3 linked regions of the Elephas maximus indicus genome follow. The protein of the gene in region 2 interacts with the protein of the main gene of each other region in a biochemical or structural test. Links are inferred from orthologs where the notes say so. Each region holds a gene or a part of one and is shown on either strand. Other genes may lie near its edges. The genes, in order: PKNOX1, PBX1 and HOXB1.

What was found.
Region 1: the proteins of PBX1 (region 2) and PKNOX1 form a complex in vitro, tested with the Homo sapiens proteins (2 studies listed by BioGRID). The link is inferred for Elephas maximus indicus from reciprocal best matches to the Homo sapiens genes PBX1 and PKNOX1.
Region 3: the proteins of PBX1 (region 2) and HOXB1 are reported together in a solved structure, tested with the Homo sapiens proteins (2 studies listed by BioGRID and IntAct, with this or other methods). The link is inferred for Elephas maximus indicus from reciprocal best matches to the Homo sapiens genes PBX1 and HOXB1.

The regions. Positions count from the first base shown.
Region 1 is NC_064820.1:226,908,334-226,916,345, reverse strand, and holds the start of PKNOX1 (homeobox protein PKNOX1), read right to left. Parts: upstream 3,012-8,012; 5' UTR 2,954-3,011; exon of another isoform or gene 2,499-2,953; intron 2,267-2,498; exon of another isoform or gene 2,126-2,266; intron 1-2,125. UniProt on the Homo sapiens protein: Activates transcription in the presence of PBX1A and HOXA1.
Region 2 is NC_064821.1:204,550,323-204,558,184, reverse strand, and holds the start of PBX1 (pre-B-cell leukemia transcription factor 1), read right to left. Parts: upstream 3,014-7,862; 5' UTR 2,828-3,013; exon of another isoform or gene 2,629-2,827; 5' UTR 2,529-2,628; coding exon 2,338-2,528; intron 1-2,337. UniProt on the Homo sapiens protein: Transcription factor which binds the DNA sequence 5'-TGATTGAT-3' as part of a heterodimer with HOX proteins such as HOXA1, HOXA5, HOXB7 and HOXB8. Binds to the DNA sequence 5'-TGATTGAC-3' in complex with a nuclear factor which is not a class I HOX protein.
Region 3 is NC_064837.1:44,987,876-44,994,456, reverse strand, and holds HOXB1 (homeobox protein Hox-B1), read right to left. Parts: upstream 1,944-6,581; coding exon 1,367-1,943; intron 911-1,366; coding exon 582-910; downstream 1-581. UniProt on the Homo sapiens protein: Sequence-specific transcription factor which is part of a developmental regulatory system that provides cells with specific positional identities on the anterior-posterior axis. Acts on the anterior body structures.

The sequences.
Region 1 (8,012 bases), on a different chromosome or scaffold from region 2:
TGCTAAAACAGCACTGTGTGGGTTAAAAGTGTGAGCACTTTGAGTGGCATATCAAAAGGTACATTTTAGATTCAATGAAACATTGTAACTAGATGATCCAGGTACCATTCTCCATGCTAATTAGATGTGCTGCTACAAGCTGGCAGCCAGAGGAGTAAATTAGGGGAAAGGAAAACAATGAAAGGCAAGGTTGAGTAGTCTGTCAGCTGTCTTCCAAACCAATGTACCTACAACTCGAGAATATCACCAATAACTATTCTGCCAAAGAGTTTTACATTTCACCTCAATGCTTCCCTGTAATACTTAGTGAAGTCCACTTTTCCAACATACCAGGGAAAACTATGAAATGATGCTTAAGATGCGTTGTTGTTTTTCCCACACTAAAGTGGAATGTATCTACTTCCTAAGGAAAGTCAATTTTACATAAAGCCAATTCTTACTATCTAAAAAACTAAATTATCACGCCCTTAAGAAAAAAAAAAAAAAAAGTTGCCATCCAATTGATTTTGACTCACAGGGACCCTATGGGACAGAGAAGAGCCGCCCCATAGGGTCTCCCAGGCTGTAATCTTTGCAGAAGCAGACTGCCACATCTTTCTCCCGCAGAGCGGATGGTGGGTTCCGGTAGGTTTGAACCTCCAATCTTTCAGTTAGCAGCCTAGCGCTTAACCACTGCACAACCAGAGTTCCTCTTCACGCCCTAACATGTCCAATATAGCCTGGATTGTTGCAAGTCCACCATCAAATGTATCGAATGTCCACTTGTTTATGTACAAGCTGGTGCGCGCACACACAGCCCCCAAGTATCTGTAACTTCTGCCCTCATCGCTTCTATCAATAAATTCTAAGTCGTATTTTATGAGTCAACCATGACAAATGAAGGGCCTAACGGGTCAAGTCTCAGAGCCACTGTCAAAATAGGGCATTTCCAGAGCCACTAGGAGGAAAGAAAGCAGACTTGATTTTTCTTAAGTGACTCATTTTCTCTAAAGGAATGTGAAAATCCTGCGAGCGGCCAGACCACGCCAAAGACTTCCAGCCATCTATTTCAAAATTGCCATTTAGTATAAACAATACACTTTTAACTAATTCCCTACAAACGGGAACCCCAGCCCTCCGCAAACAGCCCAGGCGCAGGCCGTCTGAACGCCGCGCCGGCCCCTCGGAAGTGGGCGCTCGGGTCCCCCGGTCACCCTGGGGTCGCCCCTTCACCAGCTGCGCGGTCGCGGGGCGCGGAAGCACGGGTCCCGCGGCGGGGCCGGCGTGTGGGACCCCGGGTCGGCAGGGCTCGGCCTGCGCCCCGCGAGCCCGGAGCAGCTCCACGAGGCCAGGGCGCCTCCGAGCGCCGCGCGGCTGGGGACGCCCCCTCAGCGCGGCCCGACCCCGCCTCAAGCCGGGCCTGCGCGCAGCCGCCATTTTCCCGCCTCCCGGACCGCGCGAGCCCCGCCGCCGGCAGCCCCGGAGACCCGCCGCCTGGTGCACCTGTCCCCCCGCGACCGCGACAGAAACCGGGGACCTCGCAGCCCGTTTCCGCCCGCGGCCGGCGCGCGCCCCCGCGGCCGGCGCGCGCCCCCGCGGCCCTAGCCCCCCCACTCTTCCGGTGCGCGCGCCCCCGCGGCCTCAAGCCCCGCCCCGCCCAGCGCGCGCCTCCGGTTCCCAGCCCCGCCCCTCCCGGCCCGCGCGCGCCCGCGGCCCGCTCCCCTCCCCCCACTGCCGCCCCCGCCCCGCGCAGGGGCGCGCGCCGCGCTCCGAAAAGGACGGTTAAGAGCGCGCGCCTCGCAGCGGGCCCAGCGAGGCGGCGGCGGCGCCTTCCAGAAATTTCCTTCTGCCTAAACCGACACTCAAAAACAAACTCGGCGCGACCCCGCGTCAGCTCCGGACGGACAGCGCCCCCGCCCCGGCAGCCGCCAGCTCCCCTCCCCCACCCGCTGCCCGCGCGCCCCCCTCCCGCCCCCTGCCCGGGGTGGCGGGTCAAGGGTGGGCTCCCCTCGGCACCGCCGGCCCGCCGCTACCCGGGCGGCGGCGCTGGGGTGGCGGCTGCGGCGGCTCGGCCCGCGTGATTGATAGGGATGGCGGCGGCGGAGAGCTGCGGCGGCGGCGGCGGAGCGGTTGAGTGACAGCTTACCTGGGTGCCAATCTTCATCACACTGACAAGCGGCTGCAGCAATCGGGACCCGCAGTGCCGCGCCCGCGTCCAACCGTCACGCCGACGCTGGGCCACGCGACACAGCCTCGCTCAATGGGAGGAGGGCGACGCCGACGCGCGCCACATCAATATTCAGCGCGGGGGCGGAGCCTGCCGGCCACGGGCCCCGCCCCGCGGCCTGCGAGGCGGGGGCTGGGGGCGGGGCCCGGCGCGGGGGTGGGCCAGCTGCCGGCTCCGCCCCGCCTCGCGCCCAGCCCGGCTACGCCCCCAGCTGGCCGCGCCCGGGCGCGAGGAGCGGCCCGCCCCGCAGGCAGGGATTCCTGGCCTTATGACTATGCAGCGATAGGCGTGGCCTCGGGCGCGCGCCACGCCCCCGCCGCGCCGTCCCTGCCACTGGAAGAGGCTCTGGGATCGCAGCTCCGGGCTGGGCGAGACCATGTTCCGCGGTCAGGCAGGGAGGCCCGGGCTGTACTATCCGAGGATGCAGCCGCCGACCCCCTCGGCCTGCAGGCACCGGGCCCGCCCAGGGTGCGCGGCTCCCCCTTTGTCTGCGGGGCGCCCCTCTACCGAGCTAGGATGAAACTGCGGAGCGCACTTGCGCGCGCCCCGCTTCGCCCCAAACCCGTGGCAGCAGGCTGTGCTCGGCGTCTGGGGTCGCTGTCGATGGGACCTGCGGCATGGGTGGCCCCCATCGACCCTCGGCAGAGGGCTTCCTTCCGGCCACGAGACTGGCGGCGTGGGCTGGGTGAAAACTGCAGGCACGCCCCCGGGTCCGCCGGGTCTCCAGTCCACATGGTGTCAGCGTACCTTTCCGCCCAGGAGACCCCAGCAGGCCCTTGTGTCAAGGTAACATCGGAGCTCCGCTGGCAGAGGACGCCTGTACTGTCAGGGGCCAGCCTCCCAGCATAGCCTGTTTACAAGGTACCGACCATTCCCACGGGCCGCAGCACTCCAGGAACCTAAGGAAAGGGCAGCTCCTTCCGCAGTGCGAATGCACATTGTTTGTCTGACTGTGAACGTTTTCTAGAACGGCCCACCCAGGACGAACCTCGATATTAAGTCCACACACAGCGGTAAAGAAGGGCAGCTCAGCTTGCACCCACCTCCTCCAGGGCCCAGAATGGGGAACTTGCTGGAGGATGACTGAGGTGGACCAGGCATGAACAGCAGGGATAAGATTCTTAATATGGCTGCATGGGTCCACAGACACCATGAAACCACATGCAGAATGCATTTTTCAGGGACAAAGTGTAGCAGAGCAGGGGCCAGGGTGAGTGAGGCAGGTGGAATACGCAGAGAGGCCCCCCGAAAACTCAGTAGTCAAGACTGGCGGCATAACTGTCAAGGTGCAGCGTAAAATGGAAATTCAAGGTCCCTTGTTCAGAAAATTAGTATGAATTCCAAGATGGCAACAGCAGAGCATTACATAAGCAAGGGGCCTTGTGCTGTGAGCCCAGCCTTGCCATCACCTGCCTCACCCTCGTCAGTAGCTTTTATTTGGTTCCCATCAAGCCTTTAAGGCAGTGGGGGCTTCAGAACCGCAGGACCTGGGTGTCTTCAGTCACCCAGAACCCAGTACAAACTATTGCTGGAAAGCCCAGGGGCCAGCTGAGGCCCAGGCCCAGTCCACCCCACCGTCTGGCCTCAGAGCTCTCTGGTATGTCCAGCAGGAGCCTTCTCTGGCTGCTGCGTCTTTTCTTTTCTCCCCATCATCTCCTGCAGATGTGGCCCCAGAGATGGTGGGGGAGGTGGCATGCTAGGTGAGAGCCGGCAGGAACACTGGTGAGCACTTTGAGGGAAACCACAGGAATGTGCCAGCCTTACTGACTGCCCAACCCTGCCTCAGGCTGGTAAGGACATAAAAGAGAGGTAAGACTCGGGCCCTGTGCAGAGCTGAAAATCCAGTGCAAGCGCCATCCGCGACCCCAGCAAGGCCCAGTACCCCCATGTGCTGCATCACAAGGTTGATGGCCTAGCAGAGTTCCAGGAATAAGGGCATGGCTTGTCCTTAACAGATGCTTAGGATCTGGAGAGGCTTAAAAACAACCACAAAAAACAAACGCATTGCCATAGAGTCGATTCCAGCTCATGGTGACCCTGTGTGTTACAGAGTAGAACTGCCCCGTAGGGTTTTCTTGGCTGTAATCTTTCCAGAAGCAGATCACCAGCCCTTTCTTCCACAGTGGCACTGGGTGGGTTTGAACCGCCAACCTTGAAGTTAGCAGTTGAGGGAAAACCATTTGCCCCACCTGGGGACCTTTTGGAGAGGCTTAGGGAAGAAAAATGAATGAGAAAGCCTCTTAAAAATAAGGGCTAGGTTTCTGCTTATCAAGATGGCCAGTTTGGCTGATGCTTAAACTGCTTCAGTTCGCCTGGGTCAGTTGGGGGGCACCAGCAATTAGTAGGGCATGATCCTTTTAAAAATGTCTTAGACTATCCCACTCCTCTCAACAACCCTCCTCCCCCCCAGGCAGAGCTCCCATCTCTTCACCATTAACCCATTGCCGTCGAGTTGATTCCGACTCATAGCGACCCTGTAGAGTAGAGCTGCCCCACAGAGTTTCCAAGGAGCACCTGGTGGATTTGAACTGCAGACCTTTTGGTTAGCAGCAGTAGCTCTTAACTACAATGCCACCAAGGTTTCCAGAGTCTTCACAGGAACCCCCAAACCCTATGTGATCTTTCCCTGCCACCATGCCTGTCTGACCTCAGTGCCCACACTACCTTCCTCATTCACCGGCTCGCATCAAATCAGTCCCCCTGCTGCTCCTTGATCACACCAGACCTGCTTTGCCTCAGGACCTTGGCACTGCATGTTCCCTCTGCCTGAAGCACTCTTCCCAGACATATCCACATGGTTCTCTCTCTCACCTCCCTGAAGCCTTTGCTTCAATATCAGTTTCTCAGGTTTAAAATTTAAGTCCCCAGTATAAATCCTATCTCCCTGTCTTAGTCATCTAGTGCTGCCATAACAGAAATATCACAGATGGATGGCTTTCACAAACAGAAATTTATTCTCTCACAGTTTAGGAGGTTAGTAGTCTGAATTTGGGGGCGGGGGAGGGCTGGCTTTAGGGCAAGGCTTTCTGTCAGTGCTTGGGGAAGTCCCTTGTCTATTTTGAGATTCTCTTTCACTCTCCATTTCTTGATTGCTTGTTTAATCTCTTTTATATCTCCAAAGAGATTGATTTAAGACACGCCCTACACTAATACTTCCTCATTAACATAACAAAGAAAGTCCATTCCTAAATGGGATTATAACCACTACAAAAACCAAACCAAACCCGTGTGGTCAAGTGGATTCTGACTCATAGCAACGCTATAGAACAAAGTAGGACCACTACAGGGTTTAGGGTTCACAGCACAAATGCGGGGCGGGGGGAGGGGGGAATGACACAATTCAATCCGTAATATTCCCTCAGCCTGCTTTCTTCTCCATGGGGTTTGTACAGGTACTTCTGACATACTGTGTAATTATTACATGTATTCGTTTTCTCGGGCTGCCTTAGCAAGTACCACAAACTGGGTGGCTTGTAGGAATGGAAATTTATTATCTCAGTTCTGAAGCCTTGAAGTCCAAGTCACCGTGTCTGCCATGTTGTTTCCTCAGAGGCTCTGAGCAAGAATCTATTCCGTACCTCTCTCCCAACTTCTGTTAAACCCATTGCCGTCGAATGGATTCTGAGTCATAATGACCCTATAGGATAGCCCCATAGGGGTTCCACAGGGCACCTGGTAGATTTGAACTGCTGACCTTTTGGTTAGCAACTGTAGCTCTTAGCTACTATACCACCAAAAAAAAAAACCCAAACCTATTGCCATTGAGCTGATTCAGACTCATAGCGACCCTATAGGACAGAGTAGTACTGCCCCATAGAGTTTCCAAGGAGTGCCTGGTGGATTCAAACTGCCAACCTTTAGGTTAGCAGCCAAGCTCCTAACCACTGTACCACAGGGTTTCCACTATCCCACCAGGGTTTCCTAACTTCTGTTAGCTCCAGGCACTCCTTGGCTTATAGATGCAGCACTCCAAATGTCTGCCTCCGTCTTCACATGGCCATCCTTCTTGTGTCTTTCTTTCTGTCTCTACTATTCTTTTATAAGGGCATCACTCATAGAGGATTAGGACCCACCTTACTCCAGTATGACTTCATGTTAACCTAACTGATCACATCTTCGAAGACCCTATTTCCAAATAGGGTCACATTCATAGGTACTGGAGATCAGGACTTCAGCATATCTTCTTGGGGGATACAATTCAATCTATAACGCTGTATAACTAACTTATTTGTTCCGTCTGTTGTCCGAAACAGCACACACACGCAGGCAGGCACGCATAAACACTAGACTTTACTCATCACATGAGTAGGAATTTTACTGTCATTCACTGATGAACATGTGGCAAATGTTTTATTGAACTCATTCTTTACATGGGAAAACTGGTAAGATGTTAGAGCCAGTTCGAAGGAAAATGCAAAGAACAAGAGTACTGGAACTAACTTGCAAATTGTGCAAAACTAGCTAGTGGAGGGTGTGGGGAAGGTTGTCCTTACCCTGTGCAGAATCCATTTACATGTCCATAGAAAAAAATCATTTGCATTGTCATTGTTATTGTTAGCTGCCCCCAGGTAGACCACTTACTCATGGTGACCCCATGCACAGCAGGATTGGACCATTGTGCCCCACACGGTTTTCACTGACTGATTTTTGGAGGCAGATCAGCAGGTCTTTCTTCCTAGTCCATTTTAGTCTGGAAGCTCCTCTGAAACTGGTTGAGCATCATAGCAACACACAAGCCTCCACTAACAGATGGGCGGTGGCTGCACTTAGTTTTTATTATGGATTGGATTGTGTCCCCCCAAAATAAGTGTCAACTTGGCTAGTCCGTGATTCCCAGTATTGTGTGATTGTCTACCGTTTTGTCGTCTGATGTGATTTTCCTACCTGTTGTAAATCCTACAACTATGATGTTAATGAGGTGGGATTAGCGGGCAGTTATGTTAATGAGGCAGGACCCAATCTACATGATTAGGTTGTGTCTTAAGTCAATCTCTTTTGAGATATTAAAGAGAGGAGTGAGCAGAGAGACAGGGAGACCTCATACCACCAAGAAAGCAGCTCTGGGAGCAGAATGCATCTTTTGGACCTGGAGTTTCTGCATGGATAAGCTCCTAGACCAAGGGAAGATTGATGACGAGGACCTTCCTCCAGAGCCGACAGAGAGAGAAAGCCTTGCTCTGGAGCTGGTATCCTGAATTTGGACTTCTAGCCTCCTAAACTCTAAGAGAATAAATTTCTCTTTGGTAAAGCCATCCACTTGTGGTATTTCTGTTATAGCAGCACTAGATGATTAAGATGACTAAGGCAGTTCTCTACAATTCATAGATTGTACAATAGCTCAAAGTTAATGAAAAGTTCGAATCAGATAACCTAAAAGGGCAAGTTCTCAAGAATGTATAGTTTCCCATTGGAGATGCTCAGTATTCCTTTTTGCTTGTCCTAAATTTCCTTACACTGTGAAATCTGGGTTTAGTTGTTGAGAAAATCCTAACCTAGAAACACAGCTGGCTGGAGGAATTGTCAGGGGAATCATAGGGCCTGAGCTCTGGTCCAGTCAAATGGCCCGGATCCTGTGGTTCAAGAATTCTCATTGTGCTCCTTACTCACCCACAGGTGAGGATGGTCCTCAGTCCACTGGGGAGCTGTGCTTCATGACTGGTCACCATGTTCCACCCATGTCCACCCACACCAAGGGATGGTCCTCAGTCCACTGGGGAGCTGTGCTTCATGACTGGTTGCCACATTCCACCCATGTCCACCCACTCCAAGGAATGGTCCTCAGTCCACTGGGGAGCTGTGCTTCTTG
Region 2 (7,862 bases):
ACAAAATACTGATGATATCAGCCATTAGTTAAGGCAATTCTATTCACTAAAATTAATGTGCGGGGATAAATAGAAAACCCTGGCATTTTAAACACAAGCAATTCTTTTTTAATTCCTTTGAAAGTTAAAAAATAGACACCTATGCTCATGAAGAACAGAAACCAGAAGCAGGCAAAGGAGTAACAAGCTCAAAATTCAAGACACTGTAGAAATGAACATATACATTGTATCTAAAATATTAATGGTTTCCTTAGTAAATTCAGAAGATGTGACTGGGAAAAGTAGAAAAGGACACAGTATTGGCTAAGTAGTTACATCATTGTTTAAGCCAAAAGAAAGCTGGGTGGTCATTTGGTCAGTTCTCAATGTGGGGCGACAGAAAGAGGGGAAAAGACTTCTTGAATGTACTAAGGACCTCTTTTTGGATCTTCAAAAATAGTTTTTATTAACTGTATTCTTATACACAGTCCCAAGTGCAAACAAAAATTTCCGTATGGCTTTATAGAAATATTACATTTCCACAGCACACAAACAGGGTTAGAGAGGAAAAAGGGAAAATTTTCTCATTCCAAAATTGTGTTCCATCTCTTTCAGCACCGAGGCCATGAAAAGGGGGAATCCACCAAGCCAGAGTTGGCCTCGATTTCACAAAAAGGAGTGGGACTAAACATCAGAAAAGTGGTGGCTATCCATTCCCCCTGGCCCTTTGCCACTCCACAAACTTATTATTAAACCAGTTTACTGGTGTGTCTGAGTGTATTTTTCTAGAACAATGTAATGGAGAAATCTGTTCCAATTCAAAAGAGAATTGGCAGTGGGAAATCTTCTACTTAGCATACCTATTAGCTTTTCCTCAAACAATAAAAATCAAAAAGAACACCTATTACATTTTGAAAACTTTTCCCCATTTTTTAAAAAATTTAGAACAGGTCAAATCTTTGAACATTTCCAAGTTTTCAAGTACCCGTAAACCTCAGTACTTTTGAGTTTACATGTTGCATGTGCTTGCCGCTAAAATAAGACTAATTCATAGCATCCAGGCTTTTAGCTGCTCCTTCTCATTTTCTCAATTCAAATTCCTCTTTCCCTTAGACACAAATACATATAATGATATCTTCTCCACATAAATAAGTCATTTGAGGTATAGGAATTGTGTATATACGTTTGAAAGATTTAAAAGGAACATTTCTGAGATTTAACAAAGCAGATAATTATGGAGACATATATGATCATTAGATTTTTAAAATTCTTTCTTTCCAGACCAGCCTTCAGCAGGCTGTTATTAGGTTGCTATTTAGCCTCTGTGTTATTTTCAAAGGGAATTTACTGTAAAGTCCTAGAATAGAGAACTGCAGATCAGGCGGTTAGATTAAGTTGAGAAGCTACACAGCTTCTTTATTATCCTTCTTTAATGAAGGTCTTCAGGGCCTATAGCACTGAAATACATAAAATTCACACATGCTTTCATTTCTATGTAGTTGCCGTCTAAGTGGTCCTGAAGGAAGCATGGGGTAAGGAGCATGCTTGATTTTTGTCCCCCACCCCTTTTTAAAGGACCATACCTAAACTGTCTGTCACCGAAGGTTAGTAAACCAACTCAAATTAAGAGATAATAAAGTTTAACTAAACATCCGAGTCTTCTGAAACTAACAAATATGTCGAAAAGCAAAATTATCTTTTCTTTCTTTCTTTCTAAGTGAATGCAAAATACCCTCTGGATAGCTGACAACTACTGACAAAGAAATGTCCTGTTGTGTTGTGTTTTGCTTTCGAGGGGGGAGACAGAAGGGAAAAAGAATAAAAATTAATTTTGGAGTGATAAGTCAAGAAAGAAAACCAAAAGTCGCTGAATTAAGGCAGGGAGTCAACTAAATCTGCAAATAAAGTGTTCTTGGGACATTTTATTGTGTAAGGGGACTGAGTCCCTCAGCAAGAACGCACGGAACGCGGTTCAAAACTTGACAATTCTGCTCTCTCTGATACTTTTTTAAGGCAGTAAAAAAAGTGCCGAGGGCCGCTTTCGGATCAGCTGGCAACATTTTCGTCGTTGCTGAGTGTTAGTGTGGATATATATGAGTATGTCTATATTCACTCTCTCTCACACTCACACACACGAGATATATATACGTGCACAGCCACATCACGGCATGGGCGATTACACTTTCGATAACAACGCTCCTTTAAATTTTACTCCTCCGCCATGTAGTTGCTCGCCAAAATGGGAAAACAAATAACATTTTAAAAGAAAGCGCTGTGGTGACTCGGTTCCCATTGTTTCCCCCTGCGAGACGGAGAAAAACAAACCCCAAGAAAGGAAAAGAAAAGCCTCCATCTCACCTGGCCTGCGCCTCATCCAAACTCTGGTCTGTGATGGTCATAATTTGCTGTAAAATGTCTCCAATGTCCTGCTTCCTCCCGCCCTCCCCCTCGGTCCCTCCGGCCCCATCCTGCAAGTGCTGGGACAGGCCGGGGTGTCCGGCCATCCCGACCCCAGCATGGGAATGCATCAGCCTGGGCTGCTCGTCCATCTCCAAAGGCAACGGCAGCCCCCGGCTCTTCCTCTTCTGCTCCTCGGCTCGGCTCCTGGGAAGCACCAAGGCTTTTTATCCTTCAAGCTGTCTTCAAATCCTTTTCAGGATAAACAGGGAAGGGGGAAAAAAGAAGACCAAAAGAAAAGAAAAAAAAAATCCCTTTGCCTCTTTAGAGGATGGTGGGAGGATGGGGAGTGGGGAGGGGGAGGGGGGCGTGAAGGGGTTGCGGGGTGAGGGTGGGGATAAGGGCTGGTGGGGAAGGGTGTTGACTCCAAAAAGCAAGAAAAATAAACCACCTTCCCACTTGGCGAAAAGAAATCAGAGCTGGCTTTTGGTTTTTCAGTCCGGTCTCCTTTGCAAGGCAGAAATGGGCTCCCGTCGCTTAAATCTGTGGCTTAATCCTTTTGCAAATATGCATTGATCGGGAGAAAGGAGAGCAAGGCAGGGGGATTGCAATGCAAACTTTCCCCCCCGCCCCCCGCTGCCCCCCACCCCCACTCCGGGCCAGAGTGATCTCAAAGGGGGTGGGCTGTTGCCAAAGCCAGATCTCCCCCAGCCGCGGCGGCAGGCAAAGCACAGGCTCTCTTCTCCTCCGTGTCTCTGCAAACTCCAGCAGTCCCGTCAGCCTCCTGCTTTTGTTTAGCTCAGGCTCAGGACTCCAGAAACATATACAGAAAAACCACAGCCTGAGAGGAGGAGGAGGAGGAGGAGGAGGAGGAGGACGAGAAGGAGGAGAAGGGAGGGGGCAGAGAAAAGGGGGAGGGGGCGGGGAAGCCAGGGGGCGGGGGAGAGAAGGAGGGAGGAGGGCGCCCGGGGCCCCGCCCCCTGCTCTGATTGGTCATCAGAGAAAAGACGGGCCCCTCCTCCCCCTACTTTCCTCGCCGCACCTCCTCTCCAGCCTCCTTCAGCTCCTCCTCGCCCGGCGCCCTGTCAATCAGAGTTCAGAGGTGGGCCGGGAAGGAGGCTGAGCTAATACCAAGTCTCCAGTCCTTAAAGGTGCCATGGTGCCATCGTTCCAGCTCCATTTGTCAGTTCCCACTCTTCTCTCCTGCCTCTCTCCGTTTCTGTCCTTGAGGAGAACGTGCCTCCGCTTAAGTGCAGATGTATAAATAACATGAACACGGAAGAACACAGTCCGATCAGGGGTTGTCCGCGTTTTTCTTTGGCTGTAACATGGCCATTTAAAACTCGAGTCTTTCAAATTCTTAGAACTCAGGGAAATTGTTGAAAGCAAAAGTTTGTCAGCACGAAGTAGTTATGAAAACGAATGGAACTGATAATATAATTAATAGTGATTTCTAACGAACAGCAGATATAATAGATTAAAAAACAACTGTCGCAGTGAAGTTAAAAGGAATACTGAACTGTGACATTTTCGTTGCATGAAAACTAATTATGGACTATGGAACTAAATAATGCTGAAGAAAAGGAGATTAAGAAATAAGTTCAGAAATGAAACTAATTCAACATTTCTCTCCCGCCTGGGGGAAATTAGTTATTTGGCTTAAATACTTCATAAGGAAATGCATTATCACAGTCTGGTTTTAGTTTTTAATATAGTTTAATAAGCATTATTAACTGAGAGAAGAAGGGAACTGACATTTATTGAATGCCTACTATGCACCGAGTAATTTACATGCATTATCTTATTTAATCCCCAACACATTTTTTCTGTGACTTATGGCTTAGTATTTCCATTCTACATAGAGGAAACCCAGAAAGGTCGAATAAAATAACTTGTCCAAGTTTCTAGAGTTACTGAATTCGTGGTTCTCTCCAAAAGCATGGTGTTTCCACTATCAAACCTGCCTCGGTCTAATGGAAGTGTGAATAGTGTAAATATTAGTTCTATGTATTGCCCCTCTTGTTGGAGAAGAGACGTAAGATGCTTCCAAAACTGAAAAACCAAGCCAGTTGCTATAGATTCCGACTCCTGGCGACCCCTTGTGCTGCGGGTTAGAACTGCACTGGCCGCTGAAGCGCATTTTCGTGCGTTTGAACCACCTGCCTCTCTGTTAGTAGAGGAGTGCTTAACCGCCTCCGCCTTCCAAGAACTCGGAGGATACTTATTTAAACAGGATGACTCAAACTAAAAATGGGTGGGAAAGAATAAAGAATAAAATGGAATCAGGAAAACAGGTAATAAACTCGTAGCTAAAGTCCTATACAGTAGCTCTAGGTGGACCACAGATTTTCTTCCAATTTTTTTATTAGCAAAGCAGGCCAGATGGGGAATCCGACTGGGTACGCAGTCATAATGTCCATGAGATAAAATACAGCGGACCAGTTAAGCAGGAAAAGCCCAGCAAATTTTGGAATAGAGAATACTCTAGTGTGTTGCCAGCCCTCTTCCTGGATAGCAGCATAGCAAAAGGAAATGCATTGAGCCGCTGCAAACCTCAGTGATCCCAATCTGCAAAATGGAGGGCAGTCTTGCCAGGCGCTTTCCAGTTCCCAAGTAAAATGTTATTGTTTTCGTCAATCCAGCCTCCTTCCCAATCTTTAGGCAAAACAAGTTTGGCAAGATAAGCAGCACTTAAGAAAGCATTTTGAAGCAATTCTTAACAAGCTACTTGGCAGTTCTTCCTATGAGGGCATGCAATAGTGAGCATTAATTGTAATTACAATGTCCTATTACTTAATAACAACTGTTCTATTCACGTGCATACCCCAACTTGTAACTTGTTTGTTTTATCAACACTGATCAAAAGTTGAGCTCTAAACTATATCCTCCAATTACGTATCACAGCTTGAGTTAGGATATCCCTTGGAGCAATGGAAGTTATCACATCTTAAAGCACGAAACAAAATCAGCCCAGGGCCTATAAGAAATCCCTTTGTGAGCAAGTAATTCTAACTGTGAGCCTAACAAAAGCTCAAAAGATAAAGCATTAGAAAAGGTACCATCAATACAAAGTCATATAGGAACATTTTTGTAGGCAAATAAGAAGTACACACAACAATAACACCAATAATAAACATTTATTGAGTACTTACTATGGTTAGGAAACCCTGGTGGCATAGTAGTTAAGTGCTATGGCTGCTAACCAAGAGGTCAGCAGTTCAAATCCGCCAGGCGCTCCCTGGAAACTCTACGGGGCAGTTCTACTGTGTCCTATAAGGTCCCTATGAGTCCAAATCGACTCGACGGCAGTGGGTTTGGTTTTGGTTTTTGGTACTATGGTTAAGTATAATGTTATTATGTTCAAGGCTCTTTACTAACTTAAGCTGTGCGTTTAATCGGAAACACTGGTGGCATAGTGGCTAAGTGCTACAGCTTCTAACCAAAGGGTTGGCAGTTCGAATCTGCCAGCCCTCCGTGAATAATCTGTGGGGCGATCCTACTCTGTCCTGTACAGTCACTATGAGTCGGAGTTCACTCGAGGGCACTGGGTTTGGTTTTTGGTTTGGTGCGTTTAACCAAATAAGTTTCAATATATATAATAAATGCTATAGAAGTGACACCACCGTCTGGAAACCCTAGAAAGGATTAGAGAAGGGAGCAACTCCGCTCAGGTGATAAGAGGTGGGCTTTGAGGTAGATCTGAACGATGAGTTGGCTCTGGCAGGCAGGGTTAACCGATGTGACAGAAACAGATTCTTTTGGGCTGCAATGGTTATGATATTAGAAAGGTCTTATCGCAAGAACCTTGAACAGCAGAGTCTGTGCCTTATTTGGTGGGACACTGGAGAGCCACTGAGATTGTTTGTTTATCTTATTTCAGGGAGAATTATCTGGTTGCCCAATACCAAATGGTTTGGGAAGGGAAGGTGAAATAGGATGGCAAATTAAGATGGTGGCAGTGTAAATGGAAAAGAGAGCACATTATGCGGATCATTTTCAAGGCAGAACCAGAAAACACAGCAATTGATTTTATGTGGATGGAAAGAATAAAGAGTTTTTAAGCTTGGCTGAGAAGAATGTGGCAGCATTAACAGAATAATAATTGTAGTTACAGGTACAATTTGTTGAGTGCTGATTGGGTGTCAGGCATTCTATGTACATTAGCACTTAATTTTAACAACTTCCCTGTGAGTTTATAATCTCCCATTTTGCAGACGAAGAAACCAAGGCTCCTAGTAGTTGAATTACTTGACAAACTGTGGACGTAAAAATGTTCCTATTTTTAATACATTACACAGAATTAAGGAAATCAAGGGAAGAAACTACCACGGGTGAAACAGAATGAAAACTAGGACCTTCTATTTACATGAAGAAACTCATGAAAGTAAGGTCTGAGGAGAAACTTACACATGCAGTTTCCATATGTGACGGGTCGTGACAAGGGATGGATAATGCACCTTCCACATCTCAGCAGTGCCTTCTTTGTAGTAGATGTTTAACAAATACATGCTAAAAGAATGAATGGTGCCATATTCCTGCTGCAGTTCTTCAGACTAATAACTGAAGGCCACTGAGTCAGGCTTTAAAGACATGCGTCACTATCAAAACTTGACCAACTAGCAAAGCAGTTCTCAATCTGACATTATTCTACTATGCCTACAAAGTCATCAAACTGGGTTTACCTCTATGTCGAGTGTCTGGTTTACTCTGAGGATTCTTTTCCAAACATCGTTAAAAGCCCACTAGGTCATGTATTCATCTTCATTAAGGGACAAAGAGGAGGAATGCAAGGGGAATGAACAAGGATCCTACTCCTTTCCTCTATTGGTTGCCAACAGATGGGTCTCCCAACATGCTCACAGAAATAAATTCACTACCACACAGTCTTAGATCATCTAACCAGGCGTTCTTCTGTGTATCTTTATAATTGTATTTTAATTGGCCTCCAGGTTTCTGTAACTTCTGTACTTAAATGTGGGAAAAGAAAGTCTCCTCTGCCAGACCCAGGCCTAGGAACCAAAGACAGTACCTGAGACAGTGGATGGCATCTACTCTGCCCAAGGATCCTTGTCTTTCTCTTTCAGCTTTTCTCTTGCCCTTTTCACCTTGCTTTTTTTCCACTTTTCCACTCTCTCTTCCTTTTCTTCTGTCCTACCTTCTCTGTCCTGCTCACAGAGATCTGCCCTCCCCCCCCCACCACTTCCCGTTCCTCTTTCCTTGCCTCATTAGGCAGACCTTCATTGTGTCCCCAAAAAGATATGTTGAAGTCCTAACCCCTGGTACCTGTGAATGTGACTTTGATGGGAAACAAGATCTTTGATGAGGTTACCAATGAAATTAACATGAGGTCACACTGGAGTCGAGCAGGCCCTAATCCGATTTGAGTGGTGTCCTTGTAAGAGAGGAGAAAAGGCACCGAGAGACAAGGAAGATGGTCATGTCACAACAGAGGCAGAGTTTGGAGCTGCAAGCCAAGGAACACCAAG
Region 3 (6,581 bases), on a different chromosome or scaffold from region 2:
TAGATAGGGAAATTTTTGGTCTGTCACAAGGCAGCTGGTGCTATTGTAAGGTCTGTGGTGACTTGAGAGATTAAGCACTGGTAATAATCTACCTGTACCCAAACACCTCCTCTCCCCAAAGAAAATTCAGAGCTTTCCCGCTGTCCCAAGGGGAGGTTAGTAGGATAGGAGTTCGCTGCAAAAGTCCTCAAAGCTCAAAGGCACTGAACTGAATAAACGGAAGTTAGAAAGGAAAGGAGAATCCACAAGGATGTGGACTCCACTCCCATCTCCCACCCCCACCCACGTGATGACCAAGAGCTGATCTCCAGATCAAAGGCAGAGGCCCTTCTCTCCACCTTTGACAGGGTCGGGGTCTCTCCTGCCTCTAGTCTTGTAGGGTCCCTAGCCATCAGCTCCCGGCCCAGAACAGAGAACAGTTACACCCCTCCCCACAAGGGCAGCTCTAAACTGGCGCCCCTAGCCTTGAGGAGAATTGATGGGTCGGTGAAGCCGAGGTCTGGAGTTGGGGAGAGCCAAAGAGAAGGGCTGGACTGGGGTGCTTGAGTGCCAGGAGGCCCCGTTGGGTTAGAAGTTTTAGTTCAGGAGGTGACGGAGCTGGGTGAGGCTTCTGGGGAGGTGCATGCCGACTGGTCCGAGGCGTCTCCAGCCACCTCTTTGAGGCAGCCTGGTGGGGCTGAGGGCGCCCGGCCTCCCTCCCTCTCTCGCTTCTTCTGCTTCATGCGGCGGTTCTGGAACCAAATCTTGACCTGCGTCTCGTTGAGCTCTAGGGTGGCGGCGATTTCTACCCTCCGGGCCCGGCTCAAGTACTTGTTGAAGTGGAACTCCTTCTCCAGCTCGGTTAGCTGCCGCGTAGTGAAGTTAGTGCGGAGGCCGCCGGGTGCTCCCAGGCCCAACTCCGACACCTTTGCTAGGGACGGGGCGGGGAGAAGGGCCACGTCATTTTTCTCACCTCTATCTCCTTCCCCTCCCCTTCTCCCGGGCCAGCTCTGCACCTCCATTCATCACTCTGTCCAAATCCAGCTTTCAAAGTTCTCAGGGATCACCAGGCAACCAACCTCCCCCAATCTCCAAATCTAGAGCAACTAACCCCACACTTCCATCCCCCACCCCCATCCCAGATGCACCAGGTCCTGGGCTTGTGCGGGGCTCACAGATCAGGAAGTGTAGACTTACTCTTGGGGGTGACCCGGCACTCACTAAGTGGAGGGAACCCCACCTGACCTAAGATGCTCCATAATGCTCTTACCTGCCTCTAGCTGGGAGGTACAGAGGGAAGTGCCCAGCCCTGGCCCAGGACACTTCAGTGCAGGGGCAGTGAAGCGGCTTTGGGCCCCTGGGAGGGACGGCCACACCCGAGCCCTACCTGTCTTGGGTGGATTCCTCTTGACCTTCATCCAGTCGAAGGTCCGGGCCGTGGGGGTGCTGGGTTCTGATGCGCAGGGCCGCTGCTTGTCCTCGGAGAGGACATCAGCATAGGCCGGAGCAAAGCTCGCAGTCTGCTCGTTCCCGTAAGGGGGCTGCGGCGGAGGGTAAGGCCCTAGGCCAGCTTCCCCGGCTCCGTAGCCGTCGGACAAGCCCCCCAGCTGGGCCCCGTAGCTTGAGGGGTGAAAGTAGCCTCCATCTCCTTCAGGATGGCTCAAAGGGTAGTACTGAGAAGGCCCATAGCTGGGACTGCAGGCGGCTGGGGCGTATCCCGAGGGCGCGGAGCTGGCGAAGGGCACCCCCAGCGCTGAAGGCGGCTGTTGCGTCGGGTAGCCAGGGTTCTGCTGGAGCACTGGGTTGGGCAGCCCCCCGCCATAGCGGGCCTCGCCTGCGTAGTTGTCAACGGCCGGAGCCGAACAAGGGGGAAAGGAGGTAGGGGCGTTGTGGGCGCTGTAGGCGCTGGGTCCCCGGTTACAGAGTGGGTACTCTAAGTAGGAGTTCATTCTATTATAGTCCATGCGTCGAGGCCGCAGGAGGGTCGGCCCGTTTGGGGGAGATACCCTCTTGCCCTACAACCTTTCCGCAGTATGTCACAGAGCCGAGGCTTGCATCCATGGCCCGGCCCAGCTCGCCTGGGCCAGCGATCCTCTAGGAAGGTGGGGGGGGGGGGCGCATGTGATCTCTCCCAGGCCAATGGGCGCAGTGGGCCAGAGTTTGGCAGCCCCAGCGCCCATCCATCACCCCCCAAGCATTAGCATGACAAAGACACTTCAATCACCCGCAGCCCATCCATCTGAGAGCGACATGGAAGCGTCAAAAACATCTTTCTTCAAAGACTTTTGGAAAGAAGGGACCAGAGGGAGAGGGGGGAAAAGTTAGAAGAATATTCAAGACTTTCCTCTCCTCCCAACCCCCAAAGCCTTCAAGAGGCTCCTGGGTTATTAGATTTGGACAAATTCAATCCAGCTGGCCCCCACTCTTCCCAGCTTCCAAATGAGCCTTCTCCCCAAGGCTGTAAACCTGGAAGTAGGGAATCCAGCCTTCTTTACTTTGCCCAGAACTCTCATTCTGTGCTTCTTTCTACCAATTTGTCTTGGGGTGATGTGCTAGGACTGCTGGGTGAAGTATGTTATCTTGGGCCAAATGGATGACTGTGTGGGTGGGGGGAGGGCAAAGGCGCCTAAGGGTGTGAGGCAGAGTCTAGAATCTAGATGAAGAATTCATTAAGTATGGGTGGGAAGCTGACATTTTAGCGAGCAAGGCAGGACTATGAGGAGGATGAGAAACATCCCATTCCTCTCTCCATCTCTCCACATAAACACTCTCTTCTCATTCATACATCCATTTCTCTCCCTCAGCCTCTCTTTATATTCTCTCTGTCTCAATCTATCTCTCCATTCGTCCATCTCTCTCCATGTTTATATTCGTTCCCTACCTATCCATCAACTCATCTCTCTAGATATATTTATCCTCTCTCTAGCCATCCATAGCTGTAGCTGGCTCACTCACTCAGACTTAAATAACTCCCTATATCTCTCTAGAGAGCTACAATGAGCACAGAGCTAGGTGTTTTTCAGGGGGAGGAAGCAGAGGGAGATTTTTATTCTATTTCTGAAGTGTTTAAAACTAGTGTAGACCCTGGATTCTTCTGGCTCCATCCTATTCCTCTCTCCAGCACTACCTCTATTTCCTTCCAAAAAAAAAAAACCCAAACCTCAAATCCATAAACTCCATGCCAGTTAAGTCTTAAAAGATTATTCTTATTTTCAGTTAATTTTCTAGAATTGATAAGGAGAGTTTGCTCAGCAAATTGGAAAAATTAGTGTGGAAGTCCTGAGACTCTGAATTCTAAGGTTCAAGAGTGGGGTCTCAGTCACCCCTTTCTGCTCTGTATGTCTGTTGGGCTAAGTTTTGGGGTCAGGGGAACAGGAAGTACCTCCTTCACTCTTTCAGACCCTGGATGGAACTAGACTAGAAGCCCATTGATTCTCCTCCTACAGATGCCTCAGACAAGAGCTTGGTGCAATCCAACACCCACACTCATTTGTAACCTGTCAGGGTGTCTGCGTGGCCAGAGGCCTGGGGCCGGGGCTAGGGCAAGTCCAGGAGGGCAAGAGTTCAGGGAGTGATCTCTGTAAACAATTGAGCTCAGGAGAGGAAGGGGAAGCAGGTGGGACAGGTCCAGAGAGAACCCTCAAAACTTCTCAGGTTTCACCATCCTAAAAAAGGCAGGGTGAATACTTATCTCTCTGCAAGGGACCCCAAAATTATCTCTTTGTCTTTGTGTCTCTCCATCTTTCTGTCTCTCATTCTCCCTCATTTTTGCCTGTCCTTCTCTATAGTTGCCTCTCCCGTTTCCTGTCTTTATCACACTGCCTTTCCCTTCTCTAGTAACTGTGAGCCCTGCTTAGCTCCCAATTATGAAAGACCTCAAAGCATTTCACAAGACCCCTGCCCCCTCCCCCTTCTCACCCATCCTTTGCTTCAGACTCTGCTGCAGACCCAGACAAGACGGGGGTGGAAGAACCAGCTGGTAACTTCTTTAAGAGAGAGATGCAATGGGGGAGGGTGAGAGAATGTTCACTGCCAAAGGGAAGAGGGTAGACAAAGGAAAGGAGAATTGAGATGGGAGGGAGAGGTGGTCTGCAGAAGGATTGAAGAGAAAAGGAATATTGAGCTTAGAAAAGTATATTTCTTTCTATTACTCCTTTTTGAGTTTATAGATGCTCCCAGCTTCTTAATCTTACTTTAAGATGTCCTCCATACAGGCTGAGACCTTTGGGGATATTAAAGAGAGGCTAGAGATTTTTTTTTAGAGATTAAGTGGGTAGAGTATTAGTGTTTCTCTTCTAACCCCAAACCTGAGCTAGGCCTATATCTGATCTGGCTGCCCTGCTTCTGAGAGACTTTAGATTTCGTCACTTTCCACAATTCCCTCAGTCCAGGCAGCACCTACTCCACCTCATCCCTTGCCCTCCAAATAAAGGGATCAATGTGAGACCCAAAGGAGGTAAATTCCAAATCACTTTAATAAAACAGCATAAATCTATCTAAGACTTGGGGAAATTCAGTCCCCCTAATAACAGAAATAGTCAAGAAAAGGGTGGGGCAAAAGTTCCTCAAGTCATACTGCCAATTGTAGTGACTGCTTTGGCCTCAGTTCTCTAAATTTGCCATGCTCTACAATTCATCCTTGAGTCTTGCCACCTTCCCTTCTGTAGCAGATATATTAGAACTTTCTAGAGTTCCTACTGGCTCTCTCAGCCCCAGCAGAAAGGACTGGGAGGAATCAAGCAACGTGCTTTCCTAGATACCTGAGTTTCTTCCTCCTTAAAAGAAGCTTCTCTGGCCTCTGGCCTGGAGAGTCTATGGAGCCTGTATTTCTTGCTAAATTCATGACTGAGTGCAAAAAAAAAAAAAAAGATGAAGCAATCCACATCTGGAGTAACCTATAAGCTACAGGATTTTCTGGTTAAACAAACTAAATTCATCAGGGAGATGAAAGTGAAATAAAATTGATTTCCTGGTTTGTATGATCTGCTTTGATGTGTAGAGGAGCTAGCTGAACATCGACATGTTTAGAACTGAAATTATCTTTGAGGGTTGCTGGTCCTTACCACACGGAGAATACAAGTAAGGGAACTCTTTTTAACCAGAGTTGGGTATATTAGAAGTTATACCTCAGATTCTGGCTCTCTCTGTAGAAGCTGCCTCAGCTAGGAGTTGGCAGGAGCAATATGAATCTTTCATTAGGCCTTTAAGTGTCTCTGCCTTACTGATCTCAATCCATATCTCTGGGATACATTTGAAGGCCAAGCCCAAGAGCAAACGTTGACGCTTAAGAGCTAAAAAGATATTCAGGGTTACAAATTTTCTCTATAAGAGGATGGATTCTTATTGTTGTTGGGGATGGGGGGTGTGTGAGTTCAGTGGTGTTTCATTTAATGCAAGTTAATTGAACTATCATTAATCTAATAAAGAACCTTAGACTGTGGGTGGTACACATTGTAATGAGAAGAGTACTAGGTTTCAGGCCAGAATACTTGGGTTCAAGTCCTTGTTTGGCCATTTCTTAGCCCTATGACTCTGGACAAGTTTCCTGGCTTCTCTGAGTCTCAGCCTCCTCTTCTATAAAATTGGTGTAATACTACTTACTTCACCACATTACTAACAACAACAACAACAAAAAAAAACCCTTTGCCATCAAGTTGATTCCAACTCGTAGCGACCCTATAGGACAGAGTAGAACTGCCCCATAGAGTTTCTAAGGAGCGCCTGGTGGATTTGAACTGCTGAGCTTTTGGTCAGGAACTGTAGAACTTAACCACAACACCACCAGGGTTTCCACACTACATTACTAGTAGAATTAAAACAAATAAAAAATATAAACCACAGAGGACTTAATGAATGTATGGTAACATTACATGCACATTCTGAAACAGTATGAGTCAGTCTTCTGTTTTTTAAAAAATATAACTAACATATTAAAATACGGAAACATGTAGTAGATGAATAGCATATGTGCTATATTTTCATGTAACATATCACTATATATTTTACAATATGTACTTTATCAAATGCAAATTTAATTGTGAATTGAGAAAGTTGACTGTTTTGACAAAGGGTTTTCTTCTATGCTAAAGAGTATTTTGAAAACTGAAGCCTAGTATTTTATATCTATAAAAGAACCTAAACTATTTCAAATTGCAGCTGAAAGTTTTGAGATTACATATTAGAAACAACCTGGTTTTTTCCAAATATTTGGGGAACGTTTTCTAGGGAAGATGTTGTCTCTCCTTCTTTGAAGACTTTTGCTTAGCAACCGTCCTTCCCAGGGGTAGGGATTGAACTTAACTTCTGTGATCCAGATAGATCAACAGGATGTAAATTTTTATCTGGAGTAAAAGATAAGTCAGAGAATTGGACCACTTTTTAAAAGGAAAGATTAGAGTGGCACAAATAATTGAAATAATTTTCTACTTAATTGGGCTTATCCAAATGGGATAGTTTGTGGCCAAAATACCCACTTTAGAAACCTTATTGAACACTGATCCACCTGAATTTGAAGCAGAATGACTTGTCCAAACTGTGATTTTTCTGTTTCTTTGGGAGTATGAGGAGGTTTTAATGGGGCTTCTTTGCTTTTCACTCTCTCC